2 linked regions of the Schizosaccharomyces pombe genome follow. Changing the gene in region 2 together with the main gene of any one other region gives a genetic interaction. Each region holds a gene or a part of one and is shown on either strand. Other genes may lie near its edges. The genes, in order: pdp2 and uds1.

Evidence for each region.
Region 1: mutations in uds1 (region 2) and pdp2 together harm fitness less than expected from each alone (positive genetic interaction), as found in Schizosaccharomyces pombe (one large-scale study listed by BioGRID).

Annotation. Positions count from the first base shown.
Region 1 is NC_003423.3:4,039,169-4,043,095, reverse strand, and holds pdp2 (PWWP domain containing protein), read left to right. Parts: upstream 1-1,926; 5' UTR 1,927-1,973; coding exon 1,974-3,680; 3' UTR 3,681-3,922; downstream 3,923-3,927. Other genes in the region: arginine specific carbamoyl-phosphate synthase Arg4, read left to right, coding at 1-1,360.
Region 2 is NC_003423.3:1,564,480-1,568,406, forward strand, and holds the start of uds1 (septation protein Uds1), read left to right. Parts: upstream 1-1,885; 5' UTR 1,886-1,923; coding exon 1,924-3,927. Other genes in the region: protein meu25, read left to right, coding at 1-1,291.

The sequences.
Region 1 (3,927 bases), 2.5 Mb from region 2:
AGTAAGTGTTGGTGGTCAACTTCCTCAAAATATCGCCTTGAAGTTACAAGAGACTGGTGCTAAGGTATTGGGTACTGATCCTTTGATGATTGATTCAGCTGAAGACCGTCATAAATTTTCTCAGATTTTAGACAAAATTGGTGTTGACCAACCTGCTTGGAAAGAGCTTACGTCTGTAGCCGAGGCAAGCAAATTTGCAAATGCAGTTGGTTATCCTGTTTTAGTACGTCCTTCCTATGTTTTATCTGGTGCTGCCATGAGTGTTATTCGCGATGAATCTAGTCTAAAGGATAAGTTAGAAAATGCTTCAGCTGTTTCTCCTGATCATCCAGTTGTCATTACCAAGTTTATCGAGGGTGCTCGGGAACTCGATGTTGATGCTGTTGCTTCCAAGGGTAAACTTTTAGTTCATGCCGTTTCGGAACATGTTGAAAACGCAGGTGTTCACTCTGGTGATGCTACTATCGCCCTTCCTCCTTACTCACTTAGCGAAGATATTTTAAGCCGATGTAAAGAAATAGCCGAGAAAGTATGCAAAGCTTTCCAAATTACTGGTCCTTACAACATGCAAATTATCTTGGCCCAAAACCCTGATAAACCTGATACTCCTGACTTGAAGGTTATTGAATGTAACCTTCGTGCTTCTCGTTCATTCCCTTTTGTTTCCAAGACTCTTGGCGTTAACTTCATTGACGTTGCTACTCGTTCTATTATTGATCAAGAAGTACCAGCTGCTCGTGATTTGATGGCTGTGCATCGTGATTATGTTTGCGTTAAAGTTCCCCAGTTCTCCTGGACACGTTTGGCCGGTGCTGACCCTTACCTTGGTGTTGAAATGAGCTCCACTGGTGAAGTTGCTTGTTTCGGTAAGGATGTAAAGGAAGCCTATTGGGCTGCACTTCAGTCTACTCAAAACTTTAAGATTCCTCTTCCAGGTCAAGGTATACTTTTAGGTGGTGATCGACCTGAACTTGCTGGTATTGCTGCTGACCTTTCCAAGCTTGGATATAAACTTTACGTTGCTAATAAAGATGCTGCTAAATTATTACAGCCTACCTCTGCTGAAGTCGTTGAGTTCCCTGTTAAGGACAAGCGTGCTTTACGTGCTATATTTGAAAAATACAATATTCGCTCGGTTTTCAACTTGGCTTCTGCTCGCGGCAAGAACGTTTTGGATCAAGACTATGTGATGCGCAGAAATGCTGTTGACTTCAACGTCACTCTTATTAATGATGTTAACTGCGCCAAATTGTTTGTTGAGTCCTTGAAGGAGAAGCTCCCTTCCGTTTTATCTGAGAAGAAGGAAATGCCATCAGAAGTCAAGAGATGGAGTGAATGGATCGGATCTCATGATCTTTAGTTTGCCGCCTAAAGTGTCTAATATATGAGTTCATGCGATTTGACTGTTAATATTCCTTTTTGATTGAATCACTGTTGGTGGTTTCTGCTTAATTTATAGTCTGTTCGTTTCATTTTGCTAATTTCTTGGATGAATTAGCGGTTGTATTTTGGGTTTGTTTTTGTGTTCTCGTTTTGCCGATAAACGTTCTCCTTTAGATTTTTCACATAAACATTAAATCAATTGAATTATTGTTTCCTTTTACTTTAGAAACTTTCTTAAAAAAAAATAATACAAGTCCATTTCCAAATGTTAATATCTTAATTTGTTTTGTTCTTTAATAGTAATGGGCATTTATATGGGCCTAATATTTATAAAAGCCTTTAGAATTCTTTAAACATCCGCTACTACATGTTTGTTAGTATCTCCAACTATTATAACTTTTACTGATCAATAGCGTAAAACTCAATGGCGTTAGCATCCTTACTTCCTCGCTTAATTTTATTTAGAATAAACCTTCGGTTAATGAAATGATACGGTGAGAACTACGTGCTCATTATGTCTACCATCTCACATTAATGCTTCTTCCCTTTACCTTTTACAGGACGTTTTGGGTAATACGGTGTTTTGTAAAATGACTGAAATAAAGGATTCAAGCGTAAAGGATGAAAATCCTGGAAAACAAGAAGAGTCTTCTATTGCAGTTGAATCACGAGAAATGTCAACGGCAACTAACAATTCGAAAAATATCGAAACCACCAGTTCGAATGGAGCAGAAGATATTAAAATCCAAAGGGATGTAGGTGATGATAAGGATTTGGACGATAAGGAAGCAAATGACAAAAGTTCAAAAGGTTTGGAAGAGGAATCTGATTCCAAAGATAGGAAAACTATAGAAACGGATCAGCCTTCCAATAATATTGGCGATATAAAAAGTCAAAAATCTGAGAAGTCTAACGGCAATGCGAGAAAAGAAACCAAACAATCTGAACGCGTCAATTATAAGCCTGGAATGCGCGTTTTAACAAAAATGTCGGGATTCCCATGGTGGCCTAGTATGGTCGTTACAGAGAGCAAAATGACCAGCGTCGCGAGAAAGTCTAAACCAAAGCGTGCAGGAACATTTTATCCCGTAATTTTCTTTCCCAACAAGGAATACCTATGGACAGGATCTGATTCTCTTACTCCTTTAACTTCAGAGGCCATATCACAATTCTTGGAAAAACCCAAGCCAAAAACTGCTAGTTTGATTAAAGCTTATAAAATGGCTCAAAGTACACCAGATCTGGACTCGTTGTCCGTTCCTTCTTCCGAATCAGAAGTTTCTGAAGAAGAATCTGACCAAGAAATGTCGGAACCATCTCCAATAGAAGAAGATTATAATGATACGAAAGCTAGACGCATTACTAGGAAAGGTACAAAGAAAAAAACCGTAACATTTGACCCTTCACTTGAATCCGTACCACAAAAACGCCTCAATGCATCCTCAAACGTTAGTTCGAACCCTGCAAAAAAAACTCGTGTTTCTCCTCGGCGTAGTACTGCTGCTTCTAAAAAGAAAAGCCCTTCATCTAAAAGAGCATCCTCCGACGAGATAGAAAAGGATAAAGAAGAAGAAGAGGGCTCTGTCGCTAATGAAGAAGACGTTGCAAAGAGAACTTTTCACTCACGAGAGCAATCTTTGTTGTTTCTTCGACACAAATTACAAAGCAGCCTGTTATCACCAAAACAGGACCTTAGTCAAGTCGACTATAAATTAGTTCATAATTATCTAGACAAGCTCGCAAACTTCCAAGGTATTGATGTTCCATTAATCCAGAAAACTAAAATTGCTGTTGTCGTGAGGAAGATTTTTTCCTTAGCTGGACTTCCAAAAGAAAATGAGGACGAAGTCAAAAGCATATGTGGAGATATTTTGGAGAACAGATGGAAATCTTTGCTGCAGGAGATTTCATCTCAAAAACAACTGTCAACCGATGCTTCACAAACACAGGATGCATCAATAGCAAATGAAAATGAAACCGAGATAGCTTCTCTTGATGAAGGCTCTGAATCAAAACCAACGCCGTCTCCACCAGCTGAACAGCTCACGGATCAAAAGCAGAATGAAGACAACGAGGATAAAGTTAAAGCTGATTCCAACGGACCAACACAAAACGAGAACGAAACAGCTGATGCTTCAAAAGACATGATAAGTGAAGAGAAAAGTAGCAAGGATGCCGATAATTCTTTAGAAGTTGCTGGTAAAGATTTTGCTGAAGATGGTACCGAACAAACTCCAAATCTAGCTGAACCTGAGGATGGCGTAGCAGCAGTAGATTTGTCAACTGGTCAAAAATAGTGAAAATGTTTTGCGTTAAGAACTAAAACAAACAAATAAACCTTTATTTTTTGGAAGTTGTGTTTAACAATACCACAAAAAACTCAATTCAACTTATACCTTAGACTGTCTTTTTTTTTTGTGATAGTCTTACAACATGCCAATTGCCCTTATTATTCTAGCCTTCAGTTTGCTTTAAATGATTGCTAGACAGAATAATTAACATAATTTAAAAGCTATGTATATTTCTTTAATGAACTGAATAACT
Region 2 (3,927 bases):
TGATAGTGATCCTGTTGAAACAGAATCTGTTTATGTTGACAATGGAGAATTGTCAAATCAAAAAGTAGAAACAGTTGAAATTTCCGAAAAAGAACAAAATGATGATCCCGCCGGATATTCTCAATACCTTCTAGAGTTCAAGAAGAGTAAATGTCAAAAGAAAGTGCCGACTTTAGAGAGTATTGAGGAAAATGAAGGAACGGAACCTCATGACAACTTGACCTTTATGACTGATTTGGGAACTCCATACTATTCTCTGGGTAATGAATTTGAAAGAAAGCAAATTTTGGATGAATACGGGTTGCTGGCTAATGATGAAAACCTAGTTATTGGACACACGTTAAGAGCGGAGTATTGCTTTATGTTTGATGAAAGCGATATCCTGCAATTACGCAATTATGAACATACAGAAAAGGAACTTAGTGTCCTTCAATTTAAAGGGGTCTCGTCACGTTGGGATTTTCGTTGCTGTAGAGAAGAACGTTTACTCCGATTGCTACTATGTTTCGACAGTGAACATACTGGGCAATCTTTCATTCAACTGAACGATCCTGAAAATGAAAATGAAAAGGAAGAACAAAATTCCATTAGCATTAGGGAATTATCCTACTTCAGCACAAAACTTATTTCATTGATCTTACCCAAAGAAGCACATAAGCAGCGGTATATCATGCTAAGCTCCTTAGCAAAGACAAGGGAAGCTGATTTCTTTTGGTCTGAAGAGGAAAAAACTAATTATACAAACGAGCTTCTCAGCAACCCATGCAAATTCCTTTGTGAACTAGATCATTTCGATTCATTTCCTCATCAACAACAAGATCTACTCTGGAAGTACTTAGCGGAGTTTTCTGCTAGTTTAGAGTTAGACCCCAACCTTGCCCTTTGGAAGAAGCAAGTTATTTTTTCAAAAATCGGTCATCCGAAGTTGCTGGTTATGCCAATATCTAGTTTCCACTGCGTACAACGTTTCCCTGACCTTGTTTGCGTTCAAACTTCAACTGCTGAAACGTTTTTGTCTGTGGATCGTGAATTAACAACTTATGACCTAAACACTATTAAGTTGTTAAACACAGCACCTAGTCGTACAGCTCAAAACTGGCTTTTTATCATGCATCACCTAGAAATTGTAGGCTATTTATTTCCACATTTGGTTCATCTCGATAAACAGTATAGTTTATTAGATTATGCAAAGTCTGTTGAGCACATTCCAGAATTGGGCACTGTACAACGAAAAGGGTTTTTGAACAAAGTCGCATTTGATGATAACGAGGCTTTACTTTACCAAGTTTAAACGTACTGTCACATAATTTTCTATCACATGTTATCGACCATTCAGTGTTGAGGTTCCTAGGAATCTCTTCTAGGATGGTAGTGTACCTTTTAAGCGAAATTTTGTTTCATCTGCACATTCATTATTTACAAACCTATACGAACTTGACAAAAGTTTTTACGAATATACTAAATATTGACTTATTAATACTTGAAAATATTATCACTTTTTTTGAGGTGGTCTAAGTAAAAATGTGTAGGTCGAATTCGTCACATAGGGTAATAAATGTAAGTGTAGGACCGTTAAAGTATGCTCTAAATAATCTTTTAACATATAAAAAGTAATGTGGATTATTTGCAAACACCATAATGAATGTTGATCAAAATACCGGTTCAACGTCGATAAATAACAAACAGCAGAGCCCACCGATACACAAACCTAAAATTGCAAAGGGACTTTAATAGTCGTATAATCTGGAGAATGAAATGCTTAGCGACCGATCATTGCAACGTGATAATAGGTTGGCTTAGGTGCTTTGTTTATTTACATTTCAATGTTAGTTGTCATGGAAACGAAATTCATACAAAATAAAGCGTATGCGGCTGTAAACAAACAAAAGATTCAACATTTACATTTACCCATTTTACCCAAAAATGGGGTTTCATGGATGTTTAAGTACAGATGAATATGAACCTGAGTTAATTGAGAAATATGGGAATCCTGAACCACCTTCTTCAAGCATATTAATTAATACACGACCAGTCAATCCATTTTTATCCACTTTCGTGTATGTAGGAAAGGCTAGCAGTTCTGAAGATGTGTCTATATCTACAGGTGAGGAGGAAATGCGAACCCTTTTAGTTGCGTCTGCTGTTAAAGATGCAAAAGGTTGGGTGTACCTTTCCGGAAAAGACGTTGAAGAAATAAAACAGAAAATAAAAAACCTGCAGGGATTACTTGGTGTTTCTATAAAAAAACTGGCTGTCGAAGCCAAAATTAGAGAAGCTGCTAAGAATTTGATGGTTGCCCAAGCTAAGGAGAAAAAAGGAAAACATAAACAAAGTACGATAGAGCATTACGAACAATGTTCTCGTAGAGTTAGAGAACTTTCTTCTAAGATATGGCTTATTGAAAGGAAACTTGCAGAATTTTATATGCACCTATTGAAGCATATGGTTGCTGTGTGCATTGCTGAGCTTAAACCAGGTAGCTGTAGCAAGGTATCTTCACCGGTTTCTGCCATCACCGCTGATGAGAGCGCAACTGGATTTCGAGATGAAGAAATAATGAACAATGAGGAAATTGAGCAGCTTGTAGAGCGTATGAGCCGTATACTGGAAATTGCTCAATCAATGGGTAATTCAATTCGTGAACCATCTGTCCTAGATGCAGTACAAATGAACGCTGGTGAACGGCTACTCGAGCAAGTTCGTCACTTAGAGCTTATTTTGAAACAAATATACGAGAAAAAGTTGGAGGAAGATGCTGATGCGAAAGATATTGCTCCTCGCGCTATTGTGAACTTTTGGCGGTTACTTACTGAGCTGTTTCGCGGCGACAATGATACGCCAGAGAAGAGTAATGCACTTCCTGATGATGAACTCGATAAACATTTGAAATCTGATTTTGACATTGAATCATTTTGCTTTCTTCTGCACCATCTATTGTCATTATACCAAACACAAAAGAAAGAGCTTGCTTCAAGCAATGAACTTCTAGCAAGTGTCCGAGATGAAAATACGAAAAAGCTTAAGGAGCTTCAAGATATCATTGAAGAGCAGAGTAAACATATGGCTCGCCTTCATAGGGAAGGGTTTTCTGAGGCCGCTGAAAATAACGATAAACCTAAAGAAACAATGCCTTGTACGTATGATTCATCTCTAGCAGATGACCATTCGGATACCTCCAACCTGAGTAAAGATAAGGCGAATACACTTTGTGCCCAGTGTTCAGTATATCTTTCTGAAAAGTATCAGCAACAGCAGTCCTTGTTGCAATTGGAGTCTAATATCCAGCAATTGGAAAATGAGAAAAAAGCTGCCAAGCTTATAGAAAAGGATCTGTTGTCTCAGATTTCTCATGTCAAACTGCAATTTGAGCAACAAATAAAGGCACATCATTATGCGAAAGACCAGGTTAGAAATTTGAACGACGAGATGGTTGCCTTACGTGCTGAGCTTGAAGTTGTAAAGGCTATGAATTCCCAGCCTGATGATCCCGATTCCGATTATGCAATAAAGCAGAACAATGCATTGCAGAACAGATTAGAGGCTTTGACAAGAGAAAATGAGTTATTACAATCTCGCGTTACAACTTTGGAAATGGAAAAAGAAGTTCAGGAGAAGAACTCTGCTACTGTAAGCAACCTTACGCTAAAGCAATTGCAAATGGAGAATATATTTGCAAGCCTCAATTTGGAGAATTCATTTGATTTTGGTATGCCATTAATGGGACCATACACTCAACAAAATTTGCAGTTAGAGGATGAAATTTCTGAAATTTCTAGTCCTTCCTATTCCTCCGATGATGACAGGAAAACCATCTCCGAGACTCAACCAGCACCTAAGCAAAACATTAACGAAGAATTTGAAAATTCGACTTCTACAGATGGGTCTGAAACTAACAAAAATGAACAAGGGAATAGTCTTAGCACCCCT